Linked DNA regions of Arabidopsis thaliana. The protein of the gene in region 1 binds, or shares a complex with, the protein of each later gene. Each region holds a gene or a part of one and is shown in the gene's direction. Other genes may lie near its edges.

Evidence for each region.
Region 2: AT1G15770 (region 1) and AT5G05140 share a complex: the UniProt entries of both Arabidopsis thaliana proteins name them as parts of the mediator complex.

The regions. Positions count from the first base shown.
Region 1 is NC_003070.9:5,424,216-5,431,335, reverse strand, and holds AT1G15770 (mediator of RNA polymerase II transcription subunit), read left to right. Parts: upstream 1-3,055; 5' UTR 3,056-3,120; coding exon 3,121-3,207; intron 3,208-3,530; coding exon 3,531-4,040; intron 4,041-4,159; coding exon 4,160-4,444; 3' UTR 4,445-4,628; downstream 4,629-7,120. Other genes in the region: NRB4 (mediator of RNA polymerase II transcription subunit 15a-like protein), read left to right, coding at 124-330, 425-814; AT1G15772 (mediator of RNA polymerase II transcription subunit), read left to right, coding at 2,104-2,151, 2,244-2,318, 2,402-2,635; AT1G15760 (Sterile alpha motif (SAM) domain-containing protein), read right to left, coding at 5,014-5,622; AT1G15757 (Molecular chaperone Hsp40/DnaJ family protein), read left to right, coding at 6,760-6,856, 6,940-7,094. UniProt on the Arabidopsis thaliana protein: Component of the Mediator complex, a coactivator involved in the regulated transcription of nearly all RNA polymerase II-dependent genes.
Region 2 is NC_003076.8:1,516,178-1,524,219, forward strand, and holds AT5G05140 (Transcription elongation factor (TFIIS) family protein), read left to right. Parts: upstream 1-3,527; 5' UTR 3,528-4,175; coding exon 4,176-4,637; intron 4,638-4,725; coding exon 4,726-4,794; intron 4,795-4,874; coding exon 4,875-4,957; intron 4,958-5,051; coding exon 5,052-5,104; intron 5,105-5,220; coding exon 5,221-5,370; intron 5,371-5,455; coding exon 5,456-5,748; intron 5,749-5,830; coding exon 5,831-5,912; intron 5,913-6,001; coding exon 6,002-6,120; 3' UTR 6,121-6,960; downstream 6,961-8,042. UniProt on the Arabidopsis thaliana protein: Component of the Mediator complex, a coactivator involved in the regulated transcription of nearly all RNA polymerase II-dependent genes.

The DNA.
Region 1 (7,120 bases):
CCCCTAGCTATATTTGAATATTGACACACACTCACACACACACACACACACGTAACAAAGAAAATTTGGAAGCACAAGGTTTCGATATTCTTTTTTTTTTGAAGACTCAATCTTGAACTGCAGACCGAGCATGCCCTTTTGGAGGAAATAAAGGAAATAAACCAGCGGCTGATAGATACAGTTGTTGAGATAAGTGATGATGAAGATGCTGCTGATCCTAGTGAGGTTGCAATATCAAGCATAGGGTGTGAAGGAACAACAGTTAGATTCTCGTTTATAGCTGTTTCTCTCAGCCCAGCCTTGAAGGCTCATCTCTCATCAACACAAATGGTAAACATGGTCATCTCGTTAACATTAACGTTTTGTGAAACAAAATATTTCATTTATCCTTTTTTATAATATATGCTTTGTGCTTCTATTACAGTCTCCTATTCAACCATTGCGTCTGCTGGTTCCTTGTAGCTACCCCAATGGCTCTCCATCTCTTCTAGATAAACTCCCGGTCGAAACCAGGTACAAGCAAATCCTTCAGTCTCAAGTAAATAGAACCATAGATTTTCCGTACCGAGTCGAGCAAACTTCTACGATACAGTTAAAATCTTCACAAGAATCATCTACTAGAAACCCTTTATTAGAAACTGCGTTATCTTCTTACCGTAACACGGTCTGGTTTCTTGAACAGCAAAGAAAACGAGGACCTGTCGTCCAAAGCTATGGCAAGGTTCAACATATTGCTAAGAAGTTTGTCACAGCCGATGTCGCTCAAAGACATAGCCAAGACATGGGACGCCTGTGCTCGGGCAGTGATCTGTGAGTACGCACAGCAATTTGGCGGTGGAACTTTCAGCTCAAAATACGGCACTTGGGAGAAATATGTAGCAGCTTCCTGAATCTGACGGATCTCTCTCGTCTTCAATAGCAGCTCTGTGATTCACTTGCAGGTTCATGTCAAAACTAAAGAAAAAAAGCCAAAAAGTTTTTTCCTCACTTTTTGTTGTATAGTATAAGTTGTTTTCCCACACACGTGATTGGGATTTTTTGTTATCTGTTTGCAAAAGCTTATGCTATATTATTGAATATATTTAAATAATATTATTTTAACTTTATTGTATGTATTTTGTGAATCTTGTTAGTATATTCGTCATTTTCTTCTAATTCTGAAGTGCAATTACCCCTTTTTTGGGGTCTTGCTGAATGTTGTATTTTGAGATTTGTTGTAATACGCATTTTGAGATCGTTCAGAAGAGTTTCAACTTCTTTACTCTGTTCAGTTGTCACAATAAAATGGCTGTTTGAAACATTTTTTTTTTTTTGTATATACCAAATGGCTAACTTTTTTATTGTAATTATTGATGATTTATCATCATAAAGTCATCAAGTTAGAAGATACAAGGAGTGATCAGTGTGGTGTGTAATTGTCTATACAAATTAGTACATGAACGAGATTTATTTAGTTAATGACTATAATTAACATTTTGGTCACACAAATAGCCGGAGATTTCACTGGTTTTTCTACAAGTCTCTTTACTCGATTTTTAGCCTTTACTGTGTGAAATAGAAAACTTAAAAAAACTCCAAAAAACTTATTATTTGCAGAAGAGACTTGGGCCTGATAAGTACTTATTATTGGGTCATTGGGCCTCGCTTAATAACCTGATATTGTAATGTTGTTGAAGCCTTTTAATCCTTGTATTTAGCTCTCTCTTGTTTGTTTCTCTATAAAATCAAAAGATGATTAAAACAAAAACAATCATCTCTAATTCTTCTCCTTAACCCTAATTGCTACGTTTCACTTATTAAAAGAAAGATTGAAACGTAAGAACGTTTGGAGAAAAACCAAATCCAAACGGACCGTTCTAAGTCTCGGAGATTCATCGCCAAAAGGTCCTTATTTTGAGTCACCTATCTCATTACGTGTCATAGTAAACCCATGGATTCGTCGATAGCAAAACCTTTTGCATAAGAAACTAGTTTTATGGATTGATGATACTTGTGTACCTCTAATTTTAGGTTTTTGTATTTTTTTTTACACAGTTTCTGATGATGAATGAATCTCGCTTTTTAATTATTTTTCTTGGCTAGCAACACTAGATAGTAGATACAATGGAAAATGAAAATGGAGATGATTGGCGGGAGGAGGTTTTCCAAAAGGTAACTCATAAGTCATAATCATCATAATAATAAAACTCCTTTCTTAAATCATCATCGGGATCATTCATTGTGGTGTGTAATTGTTTATACAGCTTAGATCCATGAGAGAGCGTTATCTACCACATGTGACTGATGTTTACCAGAGACTTGCAGACAAGTTGAACCATGTAAGATGTAGTTACTGTCAACTATTAACTCTCTGCCTTAAGTTGTATAGATGTAGTAATACTAGTTTGTTTGTTTTTTTCAGGAGGAATCGCTTCCGCAGCAACAAAGATCAAAGCACTTTGACAAGTTCCAAAGCATGAAGACAAACATAGAGCAATTGATCCAAGTCCTATCTCTTCGAAAGAGAAATATCATGCCGATATTAAAGGATTGTAGATGGGACTATTATGAGAAACGGATTATATATTTCTTAATTACGCTAAGAACCGGCTGGGAAGACAGTACAGCAAAGGCAGCTTCAAGATCAGTCTCATAATAATCAAGGAAATGCATTGTAGATATTTTGTCTCTCTCTCTTTTTATGTTGGTCTTCTCTCTTCTGATGTGTTTTGAACTCTCATCCTCAATGTTGTTGACTCCGGTGCTCTGTTTCTACCAGGCTCCTCCTATCAAGTTATGATCGAAAAATGAATAAAGACCCTTTTTTTTTTTGTAAATGTTAATTTCTCGGAGATTAGGTGTGTTTTTGGTGGGTGCTTTAGTGTTCCGTCAACTAGTAGGGTAGGGTTTGGTTTCTTATTGAATTCATGCAGAATTCTTTTACCCATCAACAGAGATTAAAGCAATTTGAGAGATTGAAGGCAATGTTGGAGCGAAGAATGATACAATTCCTATCTGTTTCAAAGAAGCAATGTCATGCCTTACTTGAAAGATTACTACGACAACCAGATTATTCCTTTGTTACTAGCAGGATCATCTCTCTGTTACTAGATGATATCACCATGATGAGTAATCGTATGTATGATTATATTGCTTTTCTTTGTAGATCAAATCCATCAAAGAGACCTCAATGAAATCTACCAGAGAGTAGCAGCCAAGTTGCAGCAAGTAAGTTACAGTTTTCATTCTTCCTAGGAAGTTAGTTTGCACGTGTACGTCCTCTGGAACAGTACTAAGTACTTTATGAAGAGTTTTACAAATTCAATGCAAGATCAGTTCATTGTTACAAATGAAAGTCCTACAACTTAGGATTCTTGTTACCCATTTAACAAAGTAAAAGGTTCGTCAGACTCTTATACTTACAGATAGTTCACTAGAAGTTAACCTTCTGACAGATATATTCCTTCCCAAACCTACAGAGGTTGTAAACTTTTAACGTTCATCTATATGTTTGTTTCTTTTCTACTGAATACGTTCCGTTTTCTCTCTAGGAGGATTCTCTTTCGCATCAGAAACAAAGATCAGATCAGTTTGAGAAATTGAAACGAGGCAAGACAGTGTTGGAGGGAATGCTACGTTTCCTATCTCTTTCAAAGAGCAATATCAAACCTGACTTGAAGGATAGTATGGATTATCGCAAGAACAACATTATGAATTTCTTAAATATGCAGAGTCTGAGGAAGACAGTACAGAAACTGCAGCTTACGAAATCTGAGATTCAGCCTATGCAGCAACCACTATCTCAGACAGTTCAAGATCAGTCTCATGATGACCAAACAACTCTGCAGATGCAATCAATGAGCATGCAGGGTGCTGGGTCAAGGGTACAACAGATCAGGCAAGGTGTACTTCAATCCCTTGAAATTGGCACTCCAGGGATCTCTGCCTCTCCTCTCCTTCCGGAGCTTACCAGTCCTGATGGAAATATTATAAATCCTTTGACAAGTACTTGTGGAAAATCGAGTGCTACTGAGCTGCCTATTGAACGCCTTATTAGAGCCGTAAGTAACGTTACTAATTTTGAAGGGTATATTGCAACAGGGCAGTGTCATTGCTGCCATCCCTCATTTGCCGTGGAAACATTGTTCTGATCTTGATGTTTGCTTTCTGTTGTTTTCAGATGAAATCCATCTCACCACAAGCGCTTTCGTCTGCAGTATGTGATATTAGATCTGTTGTAAGCATGGTTGATAGGATTGCTGGTTCAGTACCAGGCAAAGGTTCAAGAGCTTCATTTGGTGTGGACTTGGTTGCAATGACTAAGTGCCATCTCCAAGAAAGAAACTTCATGACGCAAGATGGCGACCATGAAAAGGAAGCGTCAGACAACCCCAATGCCATCAAGTGTTGCTTCATTGGGAGGAAAGCGTTGGTAATAGCTACAAGCATTTTGCTGGTTTGGTAACATCAGATATGGAATCTACTGTGACTTGTGGTGGCAAGAAGCCAAGAACTGAGGTATGGTTTTCAGTTACACTTCCCTTAGGTATATCTGAAAATTGACACACACACAACAGATAAAATTTGGAAGCACAATGTTTTGTGTGCTCTAGTGTAGACTGTGTAGTGTCCTGAGCTCAAGATCTTTCCGATTACCTCAAGAGTAAGATCACTCCGGCAGGCTTAGCGTCATGGTTATGTGTGTAAACAGAGCATTTTTTGAGAAAAGAGTAAAAAGTGATAAAAGCTGTAAAGAAGTTTTGACTGGAACAGAGACTTAGGCCAAAAGCAAAGACTGGAGAGACAGACTCATTACAATGACCCCACACACTCACATACACACCTGACACCACCACTCAACTCTATTTTCCAATTGTTAACTAACAAAAATTAACTAGCCTAATCACATACAAAGACAAAATCAAGAAAACATGGTGGAAGAACCCTAAAACCTCATCTCTCACCATCAATTCTGATATAAAGAACGAAGAAGAAGCTGAAAGAGAAAACATAAAACAGAACTTAGAGATTTTTCTAAGTAGGTTTGAGATTCTGAAACATTGAATCCCATTTGATATCTTCAAAATAAGTATCTTGAGCGTAAAGTTTCTCATCCTTGAAACTGTAATCGAAAACCATGGGACTTGAGAAGCTATCGATTCTACAAGGAGTCCCATTGGTCAACAACAACCTCTCTTGCTTCTCCAATCCACCATTTCCATTGCTCGGCATCACAGATCTCTTGTTCCTCTTCAGGAATCCACCTCTCCACTTCCCAATCCCGTTGCTAGTCTTCTTCGGCACCAACACCAGAGCTCGAGACGACGCCGACTCTTCTTCACGGCGGATCCAGGCGCGTACGTGATCGGATAAACATTTCCTGGTTTTCTTAATCGCAGTCACGACTCTGGAGATGGAACGAGAGGTGAGAGGAGGAGAGTTCTTGCGATCTCGACGAGCGAGTTTGAGAATCTCGAGACGGTGTTTGGCGATAGAGATTCCCATGCTCTGGAGAAATTCGTGGTCGAAGTAAGAAATGTCTTCGTGTTCGAGCTCGTTCTGAGAGAAGGAGAGGCCGTATTCGTGGATGAGAGAAGGTTCAAGGTTTGTTCTAGAGAGCCATGAAAACCACCAATCTTCCATTGAAGAAGGTTTATGTTTGTTTGTGTTTGTGTGGGAGATGATGTATATATAGAGGAAAAGTGAGTGGGGGGCTTTTTTGACTTTTGTGCAAGTAGCGGGCTTCGTCGTTAAGGTAGTTGAGACGTAAAGAGGGACTATATCTGATTAAAGTGAAAATATAAGAGGGTCAAAAGTGAAAAACACACAGAACAAAATATTGATTTAATATCAGTGGGTTATTCATTTTTTCAAATTTTATTCGAGGAAATGGGGATTACATTTGTGTAATATTACAGATAAAGTAAACCCATGCTTGTGTGAGTAATAAAAGAAAAGATGGGAGTGGAGTGGTGGGTATGTAATATGTAGAGAATATCGAGAAATTGTGTGAGAGTGTGGAGAATGGAGAGTGACCATCAATCACGGTGTGTGGGAAAGGAGCAAAACCCAGTGGGATCTTACTTTTTTTGTGTATGGGTCACTCTTGTATTTTATAACTAAAAAGTTAACACGTAGTATTATTATGTACTAATACACCAGTGTTTTGGAATCTACTTTGCTTTGGTTTTACTAAAAAACTAAACATCGCTTCGAAAATAAGACAATTAAGTGAGGGTAAATATTAGAATACACTTTTTACTATTAAAAACTGGAAATTTAAGGGATTCCTGATCATGTCATTTACATAAAACTGATACAAAATATATCATATACTCAATAATAGGAAAAAAAAAAAAATTGGAAAATATATCACAATTAATAATAGGGTATAGGCCAACTATTTCCTCCCTTATTAGTAACAACACTATGCAGTATGCACATTGGTCAGAGATGAAACTGGAGAAAATCTTCCAATTAATTTTCTTAGATTTATAGTCAGGAAAAAGTAAATTTTCCCCCAACTGTGTGTAAAAAGAATAAAAGCTATTTAGTACTAATGTTCAAAACCTACTTAAATGAGAAATTACTTTTCTTTATTTTTCTTTTGACTTATGGAAATAAATTCTTGAAAGATTATGTTTTTTTTTTCATCTTTGACCATAAAAGATACTTTTTTTGTGTGTGTGTGAAAAGATACCTATTTACATGTCTGTTGTATATATAGATGTGTGATGGGCATGAGTATAGAGAAAAATCGTAAACAGAAAATATCATAAAATGGCTATCACCAAAAAGAATTTGATAGCATTTGTTTTCACCATTCTCTTTGTTATATCTTATGTTCATTGTCGTTCAACATCTGATATCGTTTCTGGTACCGGCTGATTATTCTGTTATTTTTACTATGAACGTAATTTTATCATTTTTATGAATGAACTAATATTAAATAAAATATAGGTTCTGGAATAAAAGAGGATGAACATGTATGCTTCAAAACAAGTCCGTGTTTGCCTGAAGTCGGAGGGGAAAAAGGCTGCATTGCGTTTTGTTCAAGAATGAAGTTTACAACAGGCCTTTGTCTTGGTTCCGTAGTATGTTGTTGTTACACTTAATAAATTATATATGCGTTTAATTTGAC
Region 2 (8,042 bases), on another chromosome or scaffold:
CATTCGAATTTTCAATTTAGGGGGAAACTGGAGTTTAACTTCAAGTTTGTGTGGATTGAAGTCGAGATCCGAATTTGGTGTAATTACGGTATTATACGAAACTTTCTGTGGGGACACAGGTCGTTCAACGACGGTCCATACTATTCAGTTCAAGTTTATTTGTTCGTCTTTATTAATGACTGACTTAAGTGCCATTTAAGTTTGTTATAATCATTTACTCGTATGTAATTAGATGAAATTTAGTTGGGCGTTAGATACTTATGATGAGTCCTTCACCTAACATAACATATATTGTTACTTGACGTCAACACAAGAAATCTTCTAACCTTCAAAAAGTCAAAAGAATCAAACAGCGTCAAAATACGAAAGGGGCATTTACTCTTTTCGATATCGTTAAAAGTCAGAAAAAGCGTATAAATAAATTATGAATGTAATAATAGTCAACGATACAACACACAAGAAAACCGTATAAATCCAAACTAAATTATGCCATGCAATTTACGAAATCGTCGCTAATTAAAATTTGCTTCTAAATTTTCTGCTTTAGTCACGACATTTTGATTAAAATATTTCTCATCTCAGCTTTGCGCTAGCTGTGGCAATATCAATAAAGGTCATAAAAGTAGAGTAATTATATCGGTCAGAACACAGAACAGTTTCATAATGTTGAATCCGGTATGGCATTTTGGATTATATTTTCTTATATTGGTGGCATTGATTCAACAGGTAAAACAAAAAATTTGATTCGAATTTCTCACATATAATATGTTGTTGTTGTTGTGGACAACAGAGATTTGAGTTTGCTTGGTCATATCTTGGAACAAAGTGCACATAGTTTTTAACAACAACAAAAAGAAAAAAACCAAGTACACATAGTCGAATATCCGAAATCTTTAACAATATTAAGAATGATATTAATCAAAGAAAAGATTATTACATAATTTTTGTTTGATAGGGGTTGGTATAGACGAGGTTGATGGTTATCTCCATTTTGCTCGTTATCCATACTCTCAAACGGTGTTTGAGTATCTTGAATTGGAGATACGTAATTACTTATTATAAAATGTATGCCTACCATTTTTTGTATGAATTACTAATAAATTACTTTTTTTATATAGTCTCATCTTCTTCTATCAAATAACTTTTATTTGACTCTTATTTCTGAATTCCTCGTCCTTATACTTTTATCTCTTAATTTGTTTGATAAATAATCTCGAATAACCTCGTACAAGTCTCCAAACACTTTAGATCTCAACGAAAATACAAGAAAAATGACTTATTCCTTATAAATTTCATAATCATTTAGCTAAATTCCCCATAAACCTATGAAAAATATTTATTAGAGTAAATTTCAAACACTACAAGAATACAAAGCTTTAGACAATTTTGCTACAGCAAATTCAAATATGCAGGGTTCTTTTTTTTTCATCATAATCATCTCAATCTTGCCTATTTATCTTCTGTAATTGACCTTTCTTTTAATCTTACTAGTAACCGTTAATTTTTCTATCCACCTATTTTCTTTATCTTCCGCAGTTCGAATAGTTTTCTTTGCTTCTGTATTAACTTTCTCGACGCTTTCTTAGAATCATTAGAGTAGCAGAAGAAGCTAATAATAATGCCTACTCGTTGAAGATAAACTTTAATCATCATTCATAAGCTTAAAGTTCTAGAACAAGTATGACACAATGATTCAAATAAATATATGCATATTGAATAATTTGAGCCTAAAAAATTCTAATTTTTCTTTCCAACTCCAGTCTAATTTTTTTTTGTCGACTTCTAGCAAAATACATTAGGTGTTATATCTATAATTGGTTATTCAGATAATAAAAAAATTGTAATGAGACCGTCCGTGGTAGATGGATTTCTTATCTCTTGTATACAAAACACGCACCATTTTCTTCAAGTAGGTCCACTAAAACACCGTAAAGCAGCCACTATATCTGCTGACGTGTCGGCCAATCAAAGTCTGTCACGTAAACGTGGCTGTGACAAGCCCGTGAGGTTAGCACTCAAAGGAGTCCCAGTGTTTTTCACGCGTTTGAAGGTGAGTAAATTCTGATTGGTAATCACCACCGTCCCAAATCGTACGACTTCGTTTTGTCACGTATTAACATAAAATCAAATTATAATATTTTTAGGGGTCGATTTTGTTGACCAACATTTAATACATGCTTCTCATTCCACAAACAGAAACTTCCTTTTCTTCTTCTATTTTCTGTTGTTGCTCTAACAAATCAAGCTAAGTTTAATAGTCCAACTTATTTTATAACTTTGTAAACACAAAACAAAGTTCTTACTTTGAATTAAAACAGTTATGATTGTGGTATCATTTTGGAACATGTAAACATAAACGAAAATGCAAATACAAAGAAAAACAGTTGATTTTTTTTTTTTTCAACAACAACAAAAATAAGACAATGTATGATGATTGATGACATGATGCTATCATGCTATGTCTTTTTTTGGTAAATTCTCTAAAATAAATATGATCTAAGTTAAGGTTTGGTTGGATTGTACCGGAACATTATGAGTATAAGTGAAGAGTTGTAACTTTTATTTACAATTGATAAATTGTAAATAAACTACATATCTAAGACCATCTCTATTGGGAGTATCTCATAAGAGTTTCTCACAATTAAAAAAATAAAAATAATGAAAATGAAGGAGAGAGAGTGTAGAAAGTTTCTCACTTGAGAAACTCTGAGATAGTCTCTACAACCCATCATGACAATTATCATCTTACTATTGGTTTAATTTTTTAACAAAAATATTTTTTTAATCAAATAATCAAATTATAATATAATATTAATATTTTTTTTGTTTGAAAAACTTTGTGGGTTTTTCATGGATGGAGATGCCCTAATGGCCTTAACAAGTATGGGTTATGAAAAAATAGTCGATGAATTAATGAAAAAGCTGTGAGGGTAACGAGGTTAAAACATTGTGAGTCATTTTGTACCTAATCCAAAGTACAAAGGGATACAAAAAAAATAAAACAACTTTTTTGTTAGATATTTTTAAAACATTGTAAACAAAGAAATACTTGTTTCTCTGTCTTACAAATCTGAACAAATTAAAGTACCTAATCCAATTTCTTATAAAACAAAATAAAATGAAATGATAGTGTTAACTGTTAAAACATGAAACTATTGTTTTGAATCGGATTTACCAAATATTCTAATATATCACTCTTTGACTAGAAGATAAACGCTTTTGATCAGCAGCATTAGGAAATAAATATCTCTTCTTCAGAGCTTCTCATTAAAGTCCGTATAACTAACTAAACACTCTTAGTAGAATTTACTTTTGACATTTTCCAACGTAAAAAAGATTTATGACCCAAAAAAAAAAAAAAGAGTTTGACCTTGTAATCACTTAACTTGTGTCGTCGTTCAAGTACAACGCATGTGTGAGGAAAAAAAGAATAATGTGTTTTTATAATAATAATGAAAAGCCAAAACAGACCGATCAGGTCAAAAGAAAGCCGTAAAGAAAATCCAACTTAAAATAAAAATAAAATCTCTTTTACCAAACAGATATACAGAGAGACTTCAATCAGAGGAAATAAATAAATTTCATTATTTCTCTTTCTGAATTAATAAAAAGGTTTCTTGTTGAATTGAATTTGTAGCTGTGTTTAACGTAGTAGCACTTGGGTTTTAGATAGACAACGTAACCAAAACTGTTTCATGTTCTGTCTGTATTCTCTCTTTTGCTTTTTTGGGTTTCCTCCTTCTTTCTCATCTTTGCTGCGGTGCATTTTTTTCTCGGGAAAATCCTTTCTGGGCTTTCCGGGAAAGTTTTCTTGTCAGATTCGGAAAGGTACCAAAAAAAATAAATTAATAAAAACTTACCAAACAGATTTTGTGTTTATCTCTCTCTCTATAGATTCTTTTGATCACAAATCCTTTTCGTTTTTGATCATATTTTGATTGAGAACAAAACAATCTTCAAAGTCTCAACCTTTAAGTTTGATTGATCTTTTTTTGGTAAGTAAATCTTCTGTCGTAGATTCGATATTTTCTGATCTTCTCTTTTCGAATTCTTCAATCTTCAACGATCCCAATCTTCTTCTTCTGGAAATCTATTTTGCTTCTTCTTCAAATTTTCTGGGGAAAAAATCAAATTCTTGAGTTAATTAGACTCCGATTTTGTTGAATCGAGAAACGATGAAAGCATCGGGTTCATTAGATAGCTGGAGAGAATATTTCCGACGGCGAGGAGATTCCGATATATTCGGGATCATCGATCATGCGATCATGGTGGCTGCTACTGATTGTCCTAACAAATTCAAATCCAGAAGAGACAAAATCGCCGAGCTTTTATTCTCCTGTAGAGTGAATCGTTGCGTCGGATGCGACCATCTTGAATTGTCTGTTCCCGGAGACGACGAGGCTAACCGTGGAACCACCGGAAATGGTGGTGGTGGTACGGCGGTTGATGAAGATTATGAGGTTGCTGGTGGTAGTAAAGAGAGCAAAGCTAATAGTAGCAGAGGGGATAATAATCAGATTGTTAGCAATTATACATTTGATGAAGCTGAGGCTTTGAGTGATGAGATTGAAGAGTTTTCTGTGGTTTCTAAGGAGGTTGCTAGGATCAAAGAGATCTTGCTCAACAAAGAAGATGAGGTTTGATTCTCAAGTTCTTGAAATTTCATCAATGTGAAGATTTTTTTTTTGTGTTTTCTGATTGGTTCTTTTTTGTATTCTCTTGCAGCCAAACTCGGTGTTACTCGATTCTTTAAGACATCTTAAGTTGATGTCTTTGAATGTGGATATTCTTAAGGTTGGTTATCTTGGTGGATAGTGTATGAAGTTGTTGTTGATGATCCTTGAGATTCTTAAGGTTTGCGGTTATTCTCGCAGAGTACTGAGATTGGAAAGGCTGTTAATGGCCTCAGGAAACATTCTTCTGATAAGATTCGACAACTCGCTAAGACTCTTATCGCGTATGAGTTTTTGATCTTTCACAAGTTTGATTGACATTTGCTATGCTTTTGCACTTTTGAATCTCACATTTGAGTTTTTGATATGTTTATGCAGAGAATGGAAGGAGTTGGTGGATCAATGGGTGAATACCACAAAGGAAATCACTGGTAATTGCGCTTTCTCTGTCTCGCTTTTCGATCTTTTATGACTGGCTTCGTGTCTTACCGTTTGGTTTCTTGAATTAGATCCATAGTCTTTGGTTCTAATTTTGTGTTTAAAACAGGTGCTGAAGGTACACCAGAGTCTGCAAACCCGTCTGTCCTTGATGAAGAAGAGGCGTTTCCATCGCTTCCATATGATGTTGATATCTTTACACCTGAACCAAACGGATTTGAAATCTCACACTTCTTTGATTCCTTGGACTTTGATGGAAGTGAGTTTTAAAACTATGTCTTGTTTGTTTGAGAACATGTTCTTAGCTACGTGTTGATTGATTTTCTTGGGGATGTTTGTTTCAGATCCTCGTAACTCTGAAGAACACAACACAAGCCGAGAGCATGAAAGAAGGCCACAAAATATCGCCAAGAGAAAACCTGAGGGAACACAAATGAGGATACAAGATGCTCCTTTTAGATCTATTAAGCCATCATCAGCTACTGATTTTGATGGGACTAGAAGACCTGTAAAGCAAAGTACAGAGCAAAGGATGAAGAACGAAACGGTATCTGTTCACAAGTCTGAAAAACCCATGATCCAAAGGAAACCGGTTGTTACAGAACAGAAGCGGAAAGCTCCTGGACCTCAACAAGAAGTGAGTGTGGAGACAAAGCTCTTGTCTAATATCCTATTCTTGGACGTAGAATTGATGGTGTTTTTGCTCTTGTCCCTTGCAGAAACTTAAAGGTCTTGATGCAGACGCAAAGTTTGAGTTTGCAAAGAGGAAACTTCAAGAAAGCTACCAGCATCACGAGAATGGTTCGTTTCATTTCCTTTCTTTTGTTTCGAGTTTTTTGTTACATTCTTGAAAACAAAAGAACTTAAAAATGTTTGTGATCTTGCCACAGCCAAGAAGCAGCGAACGATACAAGTACTTGAGATGATCCCAAAGCAAGGTAGTGCTCAGAAACCGCAACTCAAGAGACCTGGAATGAGCAACAGGAATTGGGCTAATGGGAGAAAATAGTTTCTGCTTTGTTCAAATGGTGAATAATTCTCGGCAAAAGATATTACTCCATACTTACCACACATATCTCGCAATCTCTGGTGCAATAAAGGTAAACAGAGTCTAGTTCCACAAAGCTGGAGACAGAAACAAGCAGAGGAGAAGGAACAGAATCCAACATAACTTTACTTTGAACAAACTGTTTACTCCTCTGTTTTGTTCTGTCTTGGATTCACCAATTGCAGCAAGATAGGGATACCAATTATTGTTTCTTTTATGTGTTCTTTACTACATTCTTGAGACTTTCGGTACAGTCCCGGTTTAGTCGGGTTATGTTCGGTTTTGGGACAAGGAGAGAGGTCCCTTTTACATATATATCATATAAAAATAGTAAAAGAGAGGGTAGAAAAGCTCATTCGAAATTGACCGGCTCTTCACCTAACTTTGTATAGTAATGTGAAATGATTTGGGACACAATATAGAGATGATGACACTTTTTTCCAAATAAATAAATATTTATATAATGATATCCAATTGTTATGAATGAATGTGATTGTGACCGAATGTTGTCATTTCTTATTACTTATGTATATAAAATAAGATGGCATTGGAAAGGCTTAAGGAAGGTGGGTGGATAAGAAAAGAGGAGAAGGTAGTGGGGGGTGGGAGATAACGTGGATGGATAGGAATGTTGTTGCAGTGTGGTCTTTGTGCGTGTTGGTATTTTTTATTCAATGTTGTTATTATCTCGGCGTTACGCGTTCACGCATTTCACCACATGAACCACGTGGACTTCTACAACTTCTATTAATCTTTCACTCCATTTCTATTGAAAGAAAAACAGTTGGATAGAGATAAATCTAGTTTTATGGTCACGATTTTATTTCGTGAAAAGGAAAATGCACTTTTTAGTTTGATTAAATAAGTACACCCAAACACTTTTGGACAAAAACAAACGTAATGATTTTTGGCGTGATGGTAAATTCGTATGGATGTGTTGGTTATTTTTGTAAACTTTAGCATGTGAGAGAAAAAAAAAGTTGAGCATGTGAAAATACAAAAAATATTGTTGTCTGTGTACAAAAACTGAAATGACATTTAACATTTAGTAAGTTTCAAAATTTAAAACATTAACTCATAATCTCAAAACTTTAAACTAAACAAAAAACTGCAATTCCAAAAGCTCTAGAACTTAAATCTTACTATTGATGCAGCGAAATGTCTTTAGTTTTTTTTTTTTTAACAAAATTATGAGATCTTTTTTTGTTGTTGGAAATATCACTACAAAATGTCTAATTCATACTATTTTAAGAATATAAAAAATCTCATTTATAATCAATATGCAATGAATAAATTGACCTATATCCATTACATACTTTGTTAGATTACACTTCATTTTTGATGTGAAACATTCTAGCAGGATTAATGACTCAATAAAAATAGAAAAATATGCACTTAATTTAATTAATGATATTTGGTTCCCAGTCGTTGGAATTGGGAAGACTTGAAAAGTAGTGAAGCATGTGAAAAAATGCTAATATATAGATCCGAGAGATTGTGACTATTTCATTAATTGACCCTAAAGAAGAAGGCATCTTTTTTCCATGCAGAGAATCGACATGTTTTTGGAGAGAAGTTGACATGGACAAAAAAACAACAATAGCATCAGTTCTGCTGCCGACACAAAGTATTTAGGTTACCATTTTATAATTTATGTGGAGTTTTAGATAGATAGACAGCTAATCGTTACAAAATTCCTTGCGTCGCAATCAACGGTGAGATAAAGAAATAAGAGTTGACAAATGAAATAAGGGAAAATAGTTGAGTATCGGTTCTAAACAAAAAAAAATCCATCATTTAGAACGTTCATCAAATTTTCATGGTTTTGAAAATTGATTATACTATATAATCGAATAACTCAACTTGTTTAATTTGAGTATTGT